4 linked regions of the Mus musculus genome follow. The protein of the gene in region 1 interacts with the protein of each later gene in a pairwise test. Links are inferred from orthologs where the notes say so. Each region holds a gene or a part of one and is shown on either strand. Other genes may lie near its edges.

Evidence for each region.
Region 2: the proteins of Ube2k (region 1) and Rnf138 interact in binary tests that used the Homo sapiens proteins (3 or more experiments, as listed by UniProt). The link is inferred for Mus musculus from reciprocal best matches to the Homo sapiens genes UBE2K and RNF138.
Region 3: the proteins of Ube2k (region 1) and Rnf167 interact in binary tests that used the Homo sapiens proteins (3 or more experiments, as listed by UniProt). The link is inferred for Mus musculus from reciprocal best matches to the Homo sapiens genes UBE2K and RNF167.
Region 4: the proteins of Ube2k (region 1) and Traip interact in binary tests that used the Homo sapiens proteins (3 or more experiments, as listed by UniProt). The link is inferred for Mus musculus from reciprocal best matches to the Homo sapiens genes UBE2K and TRAIP.

Annotation. Positions count from the first base shown.
Region 1 is NC_000071.6:65,536,047-65,540,049, forward strand, and holds the start of Ube2k (ubiquitin-conjugating enzyme E2 K), read left to right. Parts: upstream 1-1,198; 5' UTR 1,199-1,437; coding exon 1,438-1,500; intron 1,501-4,003. UniProt on the Homo sapiens protein: Accepts ubiquitin from the E1 complex and catalyzes its covalent attachment to other proteins. In vitro, in the presence or in the absence of BRCA1-BARD1 E3 ubiquitin-protein ligase complex, catalyzes the synthesis of 'Lys-48'-linked polyubiquitin chains.
Region 2 is NC_000084.6:21,000,624-21,004,805, forward strand, and holds the start of Rnf138 (E3 ubiquitin-protein ligase RNF138), read left to right. Parts: upstream 1-1,333; 5' UTR 1,334-1,436; coding exon 1,437-1,546; intron 1,547-4,182. UniProt on the Homo sapiens protein: E3 ubiquitin-protein ligase involved in DNA damage response by promoting DNA resection and homologous recombination.
Region 3 is NC_000077.6:70,645,714-70,650,043, reverse strand, and holds the start of Rnf167 (E3 ubiquitin-protein ligase RNF167 isoform 1 precursor), read right to left. Parts: upstream 2,810-4,330; 5' UTR 2,176-2,809; coding exon 2,092-2,175; intron 2,030-2,091; exon of another isoform or gene 2,016-2,029; coding exon 1,935-2,015; intron 1,637-1,934; exon of another isoform or gene 1,452-1,636; intron 824-1,451; coding exon 698-823; intron 600-697; coding exon 512-599; intron 370-511; coding exon 279-369; intron 133-278; coding exon 27-132; intron 1-26. Other genes in the region: Slc25a11 (mitochondrial 2-oxoglutarate/malate carrier protein), read left to right, coding at 3,182-3,276, 3,816-3,968, 4,054-4,260.
Region 4 is NC_000075.6:107,960,936-107,964,495, reverse strand, and holds part of Traip (E3 ubiquitin-protein ligase TRAIP), read right to left. Parts: intron 3,519-3,560; coding exon 3,424-3,518; intron 2,955-3,423; coding exon 2,841-2,954; intron 2,243-2,840; coding exon 2,155-2,242; intron 1,666-2,154; coding exon 1,576-1,665; intron 1,190-1,575; exon of another isoform or gene 1,168-1,189; coding exon 1,079-1,167; intron 1-1,078. UniProt on the Homo sapiens protein: E3 ubiquitin ligase required to protect genome stability in response to replication stress.

The sequences.
Region 1 (4,003 bases):
CATAATTTCAAAATGTTATTTTCTTTCTTTTTTTTTTATTTTTACTTTTTTGGTTTTTCCAGACAGGGTTTTTCTGCATAGCCCTGGCTGTCCTGGAACTCACTCTGAGACCAGGCTGGCCTCGAACTCAGAAATCCGCCTGCCTCTGCCTCCTGAGTGCTGGGATTAAAGGCGTGCGCCACCATGCCCGGCGCTCAAAATGTTATTTTCAAAGTACCTCTCAGCACCCACACCATATTGTTTTAAACTCTACTAACCACTTTCAAATAGCCTCTCCACGTTATTGCTCAATTAAATAATTTTACTCGTTTCTCTTTTCTCCACTCAACTATATTCACTCAATACAAGCGCCAAACACCTTTGTAAGTTTAAAGCTCTTTCGGCCTTCTATTTCTTCAACTGTCACTATAATAAATACAGTTCTTCACATGCTTAATCCAGTCATTCCCACAGCGTGGCCGCTGAAAAACGGGCAGCAGGGAGCTTGCTAGGAATGCCAATTCTTAGGTCCATCCACACTCTAGAGATAGGTGCTAACAATCTTAACCAGCTCTCCAGGGATTCCGAGGCACTTTCAAGTTTGAAAAACACCTTAGTTCTGCAGTTCAGCATTGATTATCTAAACAGGGCAAAGATGTAACTTCTGGCTTTTAAACCCATCACAGGCCTCTTTCTGGCAACACCTGTATCAATTACAAGCCGTGGGACACAACCATTACACAACCTTAAACATCTGTAATACCTGAGATGACCGAATAATAGTTGCCTTATCATGGTTCCAGAACAAAAGCTACGGCAGTGGATTTCCCGGGGGTTTACCAACGGACGCTGGGCAGGACCCAGTTCCTGCATAGCTTTTTCCTCCGCTAGACACAGGGAGGCACTTCGAGCCCGTGGGTTCTGGGTCTGGCCGAGTTAGAGCGGGGCTCGGCCCGGCTAGGGCCGGGGACACCCGCCAGGCCGGGCTCCCACCTCGGGTCCCAGCCTAGGGACTGGAGGTCTCTCTGTAAAGGAGGCCGAGGGGCAGGGGAGGACCCGGCAGGCCCAGACCCCGCGGACAGGCCGCGAAGCCGCACCCTCCTGGCCCCAGCCGCCGGCAGGGCGGAGCCACGCGGCCGAAGCCCCGGCTGAGACGCGCGGCGCGGCGCGGCGCGGGCTCGCTGCTGGAGACGTATGGGGCTCCCACTGGAGCGGCTGCGCCGCCCGGTCGGGTCAGCGTGGTGCGCATGCGCGGACCCGGCGCCATTTTGGTGGCCGGGCGCGGAGGTGATTCTACAGTGAGGAGGAACGCGACGGCGAGGGTGGCAGTGGCAGCGTTCGTGTGCTCGGGTCTGAATCGCTGAGGGAGGAGGCGGCGGCGGAGGAAGAGGTGGCAGCGGTGGCGGTGGTCGTAGCGGTGGCGGAGGAGGCGGGTACGAATCAGCTGCGGGCAGAGACATGGCCAACATCGCGGTGCAGCGAATCAAGCGGGAGTTCAAGGAGGTGCTGAAGAGCGAGGAGGTCAGGAACGAGCTACCGGACGCCCCCATCTCAGCCCCGGGCGGCAGGGCCCCTTCCTTCCGCGACCCCCGGCGGGCCCTGGCCGGCTTCGCTGCGGCCGCCTCTCTGCCTCTGGGGAAGCGGCGGCCTCCCCTCCTCCTCCCGCCGCCTTTCCCTCCCCTCCCCGGGCCCTGGGAGAGGCGGTCTCGCGGGCGGCTGGCCGGCCGGCCGGCCTGGGGAGGAACGGGGTTTGGAGGGCCGATGCCGAAGCACTCGTCGGGGGCACGTGAGCTCTAGAGGGAGCCCCGAGGCGGTGGCGGCAACATCTGGAAGTGTGACTAGGCGGTGGGGAAGAAGGAGCAGGCCGAGAAAACCCGGGAAGTGGGTTGGGGGAAGGGGAAAGGTAGTAACTGGATCCCCCGGCCGCAGCGCACCCCCCAGGCCCACGCTTTTCGGGGTGTTCTGGAGATCGCCGGCCGGGGCCTTTGCTGTCTTCTCCTTGGGGAAGGAACCTCCACAGTCTTTAGGTATAGACGAGGGGAAGACTTTGAGTTACTCCCTTCCAGTGTAGTGTTGGGGGAAAGGGAGACATAATGGGAAGGGAACTGAAACAATTTCCACTACAGATAGAGAAATAATTCCGAATGAGGTGGTAATCTCTTTTCTACGGACCCAGCCCGTAACTAGGCCTCATCATTGACATTTAAAGCTTTTAGTCTGGTCAAAGGCAAGTTGTTTGTTAATTAAATGATTTGAAGTAGGGAGAATAATGGAGTGTCTGAGTAGCCTATTTCAGAATACTGTTTACCAGTGTCAGGCTCTCCTAGGGCAATGCCTCTGTGACTAGTGTTGTACTGTGAAACTTCATTATGATGTCCCTCATAGTTAACTTGAGTCTCACTTTTAAAAACAGGCCTATTAAAAAACAAGGGATTTCATCAGATAACACGTTATTGTAGTTCACTATTGAGTTAGGTTTATTTTTTTGACACAATATTATAGCAGGAAATAGCATATTAAGAAAAATAAAACTCCTAGTACATTGTAAGTCTTGCAAATTTTAAGTACATTAATGCTTGCCAAATTTATTTATGTGAAATATTGAGAGTGATTGAATAATTTTACTCATCTGTAAAAGTAATAGTACAACTTTTTCCACCTAAATCGACAAAAATGCTAGCTTTTCTATGATTGAACTTAACAACAAAATTCTGTAAGTAATTATTTTTTTCAGGTTTACATGTTTTTCTTCTAGGCTTGCTTGATGCTTTGATAATGTCAATTATGATCTTTAAAATTAAGCCTTTTAAGCACATGAGGAACTGTTACAAATCTTGTAGCTCTCCACCTATATTTGTGCCTTCCAGCTTGCAGATCATTAGCCATCGTCCCAGTAGACTTGTAGAAAGTCACTTAAAATTGAAATGACAATATTAGCAGATTTAGTGAGCATACTAAGAAGTAAGTAGTGATCTGCCTTACGTAGCATGAACTCTGACCTCTGTATTCATTTGCCAAAACTCTGAATGGAAGGATGACTTTGTATTTTTTGTGGAACAATGCAGAAACAGTGTGAATGGCTGTATTCACAAATTTTTAACGGTGATTTAAACTTTTTAAATAAGCAAACTTAGTTTGGGATTGTTTATATATATATATTCTTTTTTTTCCCGTTTTTTTGAGGCAGGGTTTCTTAATGGAAGATAATACCTAATCTTGTTGGCCTCAAACATCTATAATAAGGTGGTAGGAGTCTTTAGACTTCTCATGCTTTCTTTTATCTAAAAGTGTCAAGTTACTGCCCTGAAAATCGATATATTCTCTTTGCTTCCTGTGGTGTGACTTTTCCCAATGGTGTTTGGTGTTTAAGTTGAAGGTTTTCAGCATTTGTATGGCTCTGGCAGTGCATATTTAACTGATGGGTTAAGGAAGTGGCTCCATGGGTAAAGGTGGCTTGCCTGATGACCTGAGTTCAGACTCGAGGACCCACATGGGAGGTTTTTCCTTTGACCTCTACACCCATAAATGCAAATAAAATAAAAGCTCATCCTCATGTACAAGATTTAAAAAAATTGTCAATGGATCTCAGGAAGAAAATAGGAAATATGAACACAAGTTATTCAAGAATGGTCCCTTTAAAAACCTAGCAGGGAACTCATTTCAAGGAACTAAGTTGCAAAGAATGTTTTGGAAAAGATCAGATGAAATTTAATATTGTAAAACACACACACACACACACAAAACCAACGTATAGCTTTATCCTCACAGATAGTTTATTTCGTTGACATTTTAGTAAGTCAAGTCCAGTTCCGTAGATAGGTTGTATTGATTTTCACCTCAATGAAGGACCCATAGTGCAGTCTATATATTTCCTTTTTAGTGTGTAAATGTGAGCTTTTGAATAGTTGGCCAAGTAATTATTTCACCATGTCACTTCATGCAAATCTCCAGTATATGAGGTTTAATTCATTTGGTAGTGTTTTAATAATTTTGGTGGATCTGATGACTTTTTTTTTTTTTTTTT
Region 2 (4,182 bases), on another chromosome or scaffold:
GGAAGATACCCTAATATACTCTGGATTTTCCCTACCCGCTTTCCCACAAACTTTCATTCCTATTTCATATGGCTTTACTAGGAATTAAATGGGCCTTTATCAGGCCTATTCAAGAATGCACACTTATTGTTTCCGCAGTGAGTGCAAAAATATCAAATTCGTGGCTTAGAGGGAATGCACAAGGTACATGCTTCTACCTCATTCTTCAGTTCTAGCATTCTTTCTTTAAACAAAAAAGTATTATAGTAGAAGACTGCATCTGTCACTTTGTTTAAAATGAAAATTCAAACTCCACAGCAGCAGCGTAGGCTGACCTTTGAATATGAGATCCTCCTGCCTTGGTCTCCTTGAGTACATACATTACAGAGTCTAATGAGATCGTGGGGCAGGCCAGCCTGGTCTAATTCCAGAGCTGGTTTCAGGACAGCCAAGACTAAAGAAAAACTGTCTCAACCCCCCCCTCCCCCAACTCCAACACCAAAAAAACAAGCCAAAACACACACACACAAAAGGTGAAAAAAGAAGAAAAGAAAAAAATTGTATGGAAGAAAAATCTCTGCGGAAAGGGGGACAAGAAACGCAATCCATATGGCGGGACAGCTCTGGAGACCACCGCCCATTGCTTTCGTCACAATCCGCCGCCGCACCTGCCCGGGTTGCCAAAGGGGCCGTGCTGGCCATCACCGCCCCCGCCCTGCCGTGGGCAGTGGCCCGAGGGCGGGCTGCGAGCCGCGCAATGTCGCAGACTGCGGCTCCGGGGGTGGGGGCTTCACGGTGCTGCACGAGCCTCACTCGGGCTTAGTCCCATGAGGCCTGCGCACCCCGGCACTGAAACCACGAGACGGCGCAGGACCACCGCTCTTCCGGCCCGTGACGGAGACCGAGCGTGAGGCGCGCCGGGGCTCAGGGCATCTGAGGTGACGCCGGCGGGCCGAGTGGAGGAGACAGGGGGGCGGGCCGGGGAGGGCGTGGGAAGCCCGAGAGCGCCAGTGAGAGCCGCGGAGGAGGACAGGCTCGCCGGCGGGCGCCGGAGCGGACAGCGGTGGAGCCGGGCCGCCGGGGGCGGGGCCAGCGGCTCCATGGCGGCTCTGGGGGGCGGGGCTTCGGCGCGCGCCGTTGATAGAAGCTGCGGCGTAACCAATGACTGCGTCTTCTACCTCACCTCCCGCTAAGCTCCGCCTTCACGCTGGTGTCCCCCGCGGAGAATGGGCGGGACCTGCTCGTGCTGCTGCCTTGTCTCAGGGTTCCGCCCCGCCCCCGAGTCCCGCCCCCGTCCTGACGCAGGCCGCTTCCTGAGCGAGCCGCTTCCTGACTCGATTCCCTCCCCCCTCAGGGCCCTCTCCGGGCGTCGGGCTCAGGGCCGCCACCACCACCACTACTACCACCACCACCTCGGCTCCTGCCGGCGCCGTCGCCTCTCCCGCCCACCCCTCGCCATGTCCGAGGAACTTTCGGCGGCCACGTCCTACACGGAAGATGATTTCTACTGCCCTGTCTGTCAGGAGGTGCTCAAGACGCCGGTGCGGACCGCGGCCTGTCAGCACGTGTGAGTGGACGCCCCTTCCCTCGTGCGGCGCCCCGGCCCGGCCCGGCCCCTCCGAACCCGTGCCCCGCACCCCCTGGTCTCGTCCTGGTCGCCAGCTTCCTGCACCCGGGGGCGGTGCTCGGGCCCTGCGTCCCTCGGCGTCCTCGCCAGGCCCGAGAGGAATCACAGAGAACGTGGAGCCTTTTTTGTTTCCTAGCAATCCTTGTGGAGACCCGGGCGTTGGGTGCTCGGCCTGGGCCCTGCAGAGGTGTGCGGGCCCGCCGGGCTACCTGCCGGGGGTGCCGCGCTTTTCTTGGCTTTCCTTGGCTTTGTAGCCCCTAGCCCTGTCGGTGTCAGCAGCAGCGTCCCCGCCCCCCTTGCACGCCCGCTCAGCCCCATCCTTGAGCTAATTTAACAATTCAGTGATAAAACGGCCCAAGATGAGCTAGCTTCCTTCTCCCACCCCGAACCGGCAGGATTTCCGGGGCTCGAGATAGCTCCCTTTGTGCTCTCCTTATGTTTATTATTGCTGGGTGATGACAAGAATGGAGGCAAGATACCGTTCTGTTAGAGGAGGTGTTTCCTCCAGGGATGAGGTGGATGGAGCACAAAGGCGCTGGCTGGGCTGGGCAAGGTGACTTGAGGTAGGTCTTAGTTGGCATAGAAAGAATTTCAGTCATTTTCAGGACAACCAGTGTCAGTGGGAGTTGGAGCCAGCCCTTGAGAACGTACACTAAGCATCTGACAAGCCCGAGTGATGAGCAGAGCCCTCGAGGAACTTTTTCTTTAATGTGTGTGACAAGGTCTCATGTAGCTCTGACTGGCTTCAACTCACAGTAATCCACCTGCCTCTGGGATTGAACGAATAGGGGATAGGCTCCCCAGAGGGACTCTTTATAGCAAAGATAACCAGTTCCTAGGCTCCATCCCGAAGTTAGAAATGAATTTTTGGCAGGTGGGGCCTGAAAAAGTTCTGTGTTTTCAAATAGCTGAAAAGAATTCAAATTTCTAGATAAGGTCTTCCTTCCACTATTTTAGTTTTGTTATAGTTGTTTTTGTTTTTTCAAGACAGTGTTTCTTTGTGTGGCCTTCGGTATCCTAGAACTAGGGCCTGGACCAGGCTGGCCTGGAAGTAAAGGCCTGTTCTGCTGCCTCGAGAGCCACAGGCCATAGACACACTTTTTTTTTTTTTAAAGTCATGATATTCTTAATTTTTCAAGGCAGGTAGGAGCCAGGTGAGGTGGTACTTGGGAGCCTCAGACAGATTTTGCTTTTGAGGCTAGCCTGGTTACCTAGTAACTTCAGTCCACTGGAACTACCGGACTATACACCAAGCAAGATCTTGTTTCAAAACACAATCAACCAACAGTACCAATATTCTGACAATCTCCCTTCCAGAAACATTTAAAAAATAAAAAGAAGTGATAGATAGAATTTTGGGCCTTAATCAAAAAGTGTAATTTTTTTTGACGTTGATAATCTTAATTTAAAAAAAAAAACTTGTACAATATATTCTGATGATGGTTCCCCTCCCACCTGCCCCCCCTTTAAACATATCATTTTCATTGATTCTCTAGGAATTTCACATCATGCACCCCAAATCACACTCACTGCCCAGACCTTCCATATCCGCCCCCAACTTTTGTGGACCTACCCCACCCCCATGAAAAGTAAAAAAATACAGAAAAGAAAGTCCAATTTATGTTATTCATATACTCACTGGAACATGGTCTAACTCTTAAATGCCCACCTCTTAAATAGAATTGAGTGAGTCTTTCTCCTCCCACACTGCCACCAGACGCCTTCAGTTGTAGAGAGCTAGTTTTCAGTGTCCATATCACACTTTTTTTTTTTTTTTTTTTTTTTTGGTTTTTCGAGACAGGGTTTCTCTGTGTAGCCCTGGCTGTCCTGGAACTCACTCTGTAGACCATGCTGGCCTTGAACTCAGAAATCCACCTGCCTCTGCCTTCCAAGTGCTGGGATTAAAGACAAGAGCCACCACTGCCCAGCATATCACACTTTTAAACAGTTTTCTTTGACTACCTTTCTGTCTAGATTGCCACCTGCCACTTCTTTATCTCAGTATTTAGCAAACAATCAAAAAAACTTCGAGGGGCTGGAGAGATGGCTCAATGGTTAAGAGCACTGACTGTTCTTCTGAAGGTCCTGAGTTCTGTAATGTAACCATCTGTAATGAGATCTGATGCCCTTTTCTGGTGCATCTGAAGATAGCTACAGTGTACTTAGATATAATAATAAATAAATCTTAAAAAAGAAAAAAAAAAAAAACTTTGAGCAAACCAGAATAAAAAATAAACACAAGAAACAAACAAAACCACAAAAAAAAAAAAACCAAAACAGAAAATGTAATAAGTAAGGAAATGAATATAAAACAAGTTGCTTTGTAGTTCTTGTTGAACAGTGAATTTGAAAAAAAGAATGAGGAAAAGTTTTATATAGATGGGAAGGTAGGTAATGTTGGAGTGTAGTCTAGATTGACTAGATGAATGGGGTGTAGAAATTGATTTGTTTTTATAACTAGAATTTAGAGTACTTTATTAGTTTATTACATCGTTTTTTTTTTCTCACAGAATTGTAAACAAGTTTATATTTTTCTGTAAAATCAGGTTATGAGTTTGAGGTGGAGCTTACAATTG
Region 3 (4,330 bases), on another chromosome or scaffold:
ATCGTAAGTTCTCCTCAGCTACTTACCAATACTGTTCCCATGGCCAAAACCAGTAATCCTACAATCCCAGTGAAAGGAATGAGGTAATAGCCCAAGGGGAAGCTGTTGTCTGGAACCAGAAGCACCCGAGCCCTGAGGAGAGAGAGACACAACCTCAAGCCAGGTAAAATAGGGTTACTGGCTTGGGACAAGGCATAATGAGGAGAAAGTCAAGGCAGCCGAGGAAGAGCCTGAGCCTGAGTGGATTGAGAAGAACTGGAAGAAAGCATGCGTCCTACCCCTTCTCGTAGACAAAAAGGGCTCGTAGGTACTCTGCGCTTCTCTCTCCAATAAATACAGATGGGATCCAGATCTGCTGTTGGATTTCCTCTGTAAGGAGCAGGATATTAGGGATTTAGCCTTCTGTTCCTCAATTCCCTGAAACTGGCTTTTGGCACTTTTTGCAGATCTCAACCAATTGCCCTCCCACTCAACTCCACGGTGCACCCAGTAGTGCAGGCTTCTTCCTTACCGCTGTTCCACACCATGTTCAGCAGTTCATTGGAATTCACATTGTGCACCACAGCTGCACCATACCCAGCCTTCTGAGCATTTAGGACCTAAGGAGGCCAAGCGGGAGGGATAGAGCTGTAACCCTTGCCCTTCATTCCTGGTGTCATGTACCCTGCTTACCACCTCCCATTCCCCATTCAGCAACCTTGAGGTCAAAGTTGCAGTCGAATCTTCGAAGCAGTGCAATAAAGACTGACCCATTGACCGGGGCTGAGGGTGGTGGGGCAATAGGACCGCAGGCATTTTCTGGGTGGGCCTCCACAAGGAACCCCTGAGGGATAAAGGCAAACATTTTCATCTTTAGTTCTGTCTTCCACAGGACCTACCACACATAACACTATATACTACCTGCATTCTGCAGCTCTATCATTGCTCATTCTGGAGGTCTGAGCATCCCACCCAACACTGAATCTACAACTCAGACATGGTGATACATGCATTTAATCCCAGCACTTGAGACTACTGTGAGTTGGGGACAGCCAGAGTTCCAGAGTCCAGTCTCAAAAAAAAGAAAAAAGAAAAGGGATCTCTCAGCTTTCTTGAAGATGCAGTTACAGTAAACTACATCCCTTACCAGAGGCTCCCTTAACTTCTCAAGCGTAGTTTAGTTCTGCTTTTAAGTTTCCCACCGATAGTGGTTCACCTTGCTACTCATTCATGGCATTTTCAACAAGTTTCATTTTCCAATTAGCCATCTTACAACTCTACTGCTAACTGTGGCCGAATGAATTCTTGCTATGTGGCATGAACTTTGTAGTGAACTACTACAGACATGCTTATCACACTGGCACGATAGCCCTAGGTTAATTTCTATTTCTCATTTGACTCAGAACCCATAAAAAGCTGTCCATGGCCATCTATACAAACAGTAAGTTGCTCCAGAGACTGCTGATAAGCACCTGCTTTTTATCTTAGCCCACTCTCAGACTCCCTCTTAAACTTGGGAGTTCTAGGGGTTGTAGATGGTTCAGTGCTTAAGCGCACTGGCTGTTCTTCCAGAGAACCGGAGTTCAGTTCCTAGCATCCATGTAGCAGCTCACAACTGACTGTAACTCCAGTTCCAGGGGATCTGACACTCTCACACCTATGCATATAAAATAAAAAATGTTAAGTTCTAGAGGTGGGCACTATCTATTATCTCTGGATTCTGGACTCTGCGCGCTGGACATGATCATGCACTTAGGTTTTTCTGGATTGGGGACACTTTTTTTTTTTTGCTGGAGATTCAACCTAGAATCTCACTCATACTAGAAAAAGCACCCTATCATTGAACTATCCGCAGTCCACTGCATTCCGCTGCTAACTCCACTACTTCCTACCTCCTGAGCACGGCCACTTCGCCCCTACCCAGGATCCATATAGGGAAATGGGGAAAACATCACCTGCAGTCCCTCGTCGCTCAGAGTGGCCCCAAACAGAGCTGGAAGGTCTGCAAAGTCCATGCTGGCATTGTGCTCCGAAGTCTGCAGACGGAACACTACGTGTTTCAGTCTGAACCCCATTCTCAGCACCCTGTCCCCGTCCGACCCTCAGACTCACCGCTCGAATCAGCCCTCGGACAGGGGCTGCTCCCCACAGTACAGTAGCCACGACAACAGGAAGCGGGAAGGCCGCAGGGTGCATGGCAGCGGGAGGGGTAAAGCTGCGAAGGTCGCGTTCTGATCGCAGGAGCAGAAGCCGAGTCCTGCGCCCTCCTCTGCCTCTCCTTCAGGATCCCAGGGGTCCAACCACCCCTAGGTCCCACTTCTCAGCTACATGGGGGCGTCGGGGAAGGAACTCCGATTCAGGGAGTGAGCTATCAAACCAGCTTAGCGGAGCTGGTAGGGGAGACAATGTATCTTTCTCTAGTACAGAAATAGGACAGAATAGGAGCGAAGGCAAACAGGTAACAACAACAACAAAAAAACTTCCGGAAGGGTAGGAGAAACCTCAAAGAGGTGGGACTTCCGGCCAGGTAGACTGTCTTCCTATGCCCCTGGAAAAGGGTTTCCGGTAAGAAAGGCCAATTCCAGTATTGGACGCTCAGGACGGAGGACTTCCGGTCCCGAGAGGCCGGTTGAAAGAAATGTTTGACATGTAGAAGGAGCCTGCGGAGATGGAGGGAGCTTCGATGCTCAGGAGACGATCTAGTTTTTTTCCCTCAGTCCCTGAGATCCTGGAGCTGCCCTGTTTACAAACCTCTCCTTCGTCTGGCCGCCACGGTACGTTCAAAGTATCGCGAGAGTGCTTGCCACCACCCTCCCTCCACCCCCCCACCCCCTTTCGCCGCTGAAATATATCGCGAGAGGCCTCATAGCCCGAACTCGGCTGATTCACTTGCTCTCGCGAGGTTTTCAAACAAGCTTTTTTTTTTTTTTTTTCCCCGCGATTCCAATTCCGGAGGGGCGGGAATTTAGGGTAGCTTCCTAAATCGGCCACGCCCCTTCATCGTGCATCTTAGCCCCGCCTTATTCCCCGGCTGCCTTTGCGCTCCGAGCCTGCGCCCGCCCCAGCTTCCAGCTGGAGCCAGATTTGCCTGTCGGAGGGGCGTGCGCGCGCGCGCCCTCACCCTGTTGCGCGCTGGTGTCACCTTGGGCGCGAGCGGGGCTGTACGTGCACGGGACCCAAAGCCGAGGGCCATCAAGGGGCGATGGCGGCGACGGCGAGTCCTGGGGCTGGCCGGATGGACGGGAAACCCCGTACCTCCCCTAAGTCTGTCAAGTTCCTGTTTGGGGGCCTGGCTGGGTAAGCTCAGGCCCCAGTGATGGGGGAAAAGGAGGAAGGGACGGGAGCAAGCACCTGGGCCCAGTGTAACTTGGGGTGTGTTGCAGTAAATTGAGCCGGTGCAGGGTCCCTGATGGGTTGCCAGGATCTATTCATCCTTTGCAGGGACCCAACTGTGCTGCATTCAAGGATCTTTACCCTGTGTTTCCACCACCTTTGCTTCGTTGTGCCTGTTTGGGTGGTGGGTATAGGTCATTAAAGGCTTTGTTATAGGACTGCTTGGAGTCTTAGGATGGGGACGCCCTCTCCACCTTTCTTTAGATCGCCTGTAGTCCTAATTCTGCTTGAACCCTAAAGAACTGCCTGAGGCTTTTTGATTTGCATGCCCCTTACTGGGCAACTGGACTCTTTTGCTGGCACGTTGCCCTTGATGCACACACTTAACACACATGCCCACCAGCCTCCTGAATCCTTAGTGGCCCTGACCTTTGTAACTTCTTGCCAGGTTGCAGTAGAGCTGGAACCACTGACCTCTGATTCCCTTTCCTGCCTCACTTCAGGATGGGTGCTACAGTCTTTGTGCAGCCCCTGGACCTGGTGAAGAACCGGATGCAGTTGAGTGGTGAAGGGGCCAAGACTCGAGAGTACAAAACCAGTTTCCATGCCCTCACCAGCATCCTGAAGACAGAAGGCCTGAAGGGCATTTACACTGGGTACTGTGGCCTCAAGTTGGGGAGGGAAGTTGTTGGTTGGCAGGTCCAGACCTTGGCCTGATGTGCTGACATTTCTACTCTTCAGGCTGTCAGCTGGTCTACTGCGCCAGGCCACCTACACCACTACTCGCCTTGGAATATATACTGTGTTGTTTGAGCGCCTGACTGGGGCTGATGGTACACCCCCTGGCTTTCTTCTGAAAGCCCTGATTGGCATGACTGCAGGTGCAACTGGTGCATTTGTGGGAACGCCAGCTGAGGTGGCTCTCATCAGGATGACTGCTGATGGTCGGTGAGTTCCGTTTCTGAGCTTAACTCCAGCCCCATTCCTGGACTCTAGGATGGTGTTGTTAGTCTATATC
Region 4 (3,560 bases), on another chromosome or scaffold:
ACATACTCATTCATGCACACATACATATGTATATATAATACATACACACACTCTTACACAAATATACTCATTCATGAATACACACATGAGGCACACACACACACAAGCACACACACAATGTGCTATCTGGCTGAGGAAGCTGGCCAGCACAAACAGAGCCTTCAGATAGGAAAGAAAAGAAGCAATTGTGGAAGCAGGAAGAAGTGTTTTCTTATGGTTGGCTGTGACACGGCAGGATCCTAGGAAACCATTTAAACCTAAGCCCGCTCCATGACTGTCCTGAGACACAGTATTGAGGAACTGAGAGATGGGGAGTCAGGGGCCACAGTACCCAGGAGGAAAGTGGAGTGTTGGAAGGCACTGAATGGGTAAACTGCACTGGCAGAAAGAAAGGGCATACTGATTTGCCATAATATGTTAAAAAGTGACTTAAGTAAAACTCTGGGCTGTTGACAGTTTTAATTTGGCTCCCTTGCTGGGGTCCTGTAGCAGGCAGAAGACAGCCTTGAGGATATTCTTAGCCAGCCCATTTCTGTGAAAAACACTCAGGAAGACTGAAGCTTGCTCCTAGCAGGGACACCAATCCCTGGGTCGTTTGGCTCCCTCTGCTGGCAGCCTGAAAGCACACTCCTGGACCCGCGAGGATTATTTATTTATTTTGGACTGGCTGGCCTGGAACTCTCTGTAGACCAGGCTGGTCTTGAATTCATAGATACATCTGTCTGCCTCTGCCTCCCGAATGCTAGGATTAAAGACGTGCACCAACACCACCAGGCTGAGGGGGCTTATTTTAGAGTGAGCACTCTCAAGTATGTTTCAGAGATGGGGCAGACAGACGCATGTGGTGAGAAACTCCAGGATACTCCAAGACAACCACTGCCCCTGCCCTGTCCTCAGGCTACTCAAAGGCTTTCTCTGCCTTTCCTGGTCAGACCCCAAATTCTCTCAAAGCCGCTTTTCAGTTAGAGCCTGGCTGGCTCTCTGGTCAGAAGGTCCATAAACACATCTATCCCACCAAAGCCAGGAGCGCAGGCTCTCTTAGCTTGTGATCCAGAATCACCCCAGAAGGGTAACAAACCTCTCAAAAACCAGGCGGCTGACCGTCTCATTGGTCGCCGGAGGCAGGCTCAAGGTTCCCTGGAGGATCATCAGCTTCTTTCTTAGGCTCTGGAGAAAGGAGAGCGAGAACCTGAGAGAAAGGTTGTGGCACTAAGGAGAAACGCCTGTGTAAAGGGCACAGGGAACAGAGTGAGGGCTGACCACCAACACCAGCCAGGCCTGAGAACTCCGCTTGGTGGCATACTCGCTCTGGAGATTAGGGACCGCCTTGGAGGTAAGAACTGAGCAGACGACAGAGGAAGATTCACGGTGCCCTTAGCCCTCTGCTGAGGAGGGACAGGCTCAAGGCCAGACTAGGGTGCATATGCTGACCCACCTCCAACCCAGGAGGATACAGAGGGCCCGGAAACACCAATGACTGTAACACAGGTTTCCAGGCAGAAACAGTCCAGCCCTACCCTTAGAGGCACATAACCCCTCAGGTCCCCTCACTTCCCACAGGCCAGGGTGTCTCACCGTGATCTCCTGGTCAGCACTTTGTAAGTCCTTCTGGGCTGACCTCAGTTCTAACTTGGCCTGATCCAGCTCAGTGTTGAGAGTCTTCAACTGTAAGAAAGGAGAAGCCAGTGGTGCCACATGACCTGCCCCTACCTGCTGCTATCCAGTGTATGTTTGGGTAGTCTAAAAAAAAAAAAAAAAACCGGAGGTACAGGGGAGACCCCAGACATCAACTAAGCATGAATATGGGCTGCCTGGGGGCAAGCGTGTCTCTGTACACAGTGCGGCCTACAGAAGGAAAGCAGCAGGCCCAAGAACCCTCGGTTTGGGATGGGGTATAAAGTGGGCTGCTGGCGCTACCATACTGGAGGTTTGTGCTCTCCAAGCCAGCTAAGATGCATCTAGGAATCAAGAAGAGCAAAAGGTGGCATGAGTGTGTGCTGGGGACCCAAGTGACAAGCCAGAGTCTGAGACAGTGCACAGTAAAAGGCATACCCAGTGTCTGTAGGCCACCTTCTCTGGCCCAGTGGTGTGGGCATGGATGGCCTAGCTCAGGAGACCCACCTCCCTTTCCCTTTGTCACCACCAGTCAGTCACCTTGCTCCTAGAGGACACCAAATCCTTCTTCAACCTGTCAGCCAGTTCCCCTGTGGCCTTCCGAGCTTCCTTCAGATTCTCATACTCTCTGCAAAGCAGCCATGAGAAGAGACACAGAACAGAACACCCTGACTGGCATGGTCGGTGCTGTGACTAAGCCATAGCGCCAGCTTAACAGAGGCCTCACAAATGAGCTCCTCCTCACCCGCCTGCCAGGGCCCCTGGCAGGCCCTGCATGTGTAATGAGGTGGAGGAACAAATCCTGGTCACACTCAGGAACTGCGCCTTGAGCATGCAAGCCTCACTAGGGGGCTCCCTACAACCCCAAATGGAGGCAAGCAGCTCCTTTCTCCAGCTTCCTGTCACCACCATAATGAAGGATATGGGGAGTTTGCTATGGAAGTCAGGCAGGGTCAGAAACAGGGCTAATGCAGAAGACTCCAGATCTCCTGAGGGAGCTCACTGCTGAGAGCTGCATGAGCTCCTCAGAGACAAAACTTGCATCCATACTCTTCTCTCAGCAAGGGCAAACCCCTCTCTCCATGCAGAAAAGTGGAGGTCAGAGGGGCCTCGGAAGTAGCCTAAGAGCTAGAGTTCACCTTACGACAATATGGTTCTACAACCTGCTCCTTCACAGTATCTGCATTACAAAAGATGATGGCAGAGGCACGCCCGAGCTTACGCACTTCTTGAGGGACACGCAGTACACAGCCAGCTGCTCCACCGCTGACTGTCCCACACCCATGTCTCGAATCATCTCCTCCACCTCAGACCGCTGGCTCTGGAGTAGGAGCTCAATTCTGAAAAACATTCCCGGCCCACGGCATTTGAAATCTGGAGGCTGATGGTTAGTCTGCCTCCCTTTGCTGCTGTTGCTATGGCAACAGCCTGGGCTGCTAGGATGCTTTAGCAGGTGGGTGTGCCCAAGGAAAGGTTCTACAGCAGAGATGAGCTCAGCTCCAGGGATGCTTCTGAGGAAAAAGAGGTGCTGACAGAGGACTTCAAGGTCAGGGACTTCACACAGAGAGGCTCCTGGAGGGAAAGGCATGGCAAGCCACCTATCCATAGGCAACAGAACAAGAAGTGTAATGAGAGGACTCACAAAAAGGGAAGGGGCCCACAGAGGTTAAAAAAGGAAATCTGTGGCCAAAGGCACCTGGGAATCTGAATCAAAGATGAACAAGACCCATTTTCAGCTGCAGCCCTGAGAATCCGCCCCCTGGTGCCCTAGGTATGAAAGGACAGTATAGAAGCCAGCTGGGGACTCACTGCTCCATGGTTTTCATCTTGCACTTGAGTCGGTGGGCCTCCTCCCGAGCTTGTTTGGTCTCATCCTGCCGCTGCTCCAGGAACTTCATCTGTTTCTGAAGAATAAGCACAAGACACCTTCTCAGTGTCTCAGAACC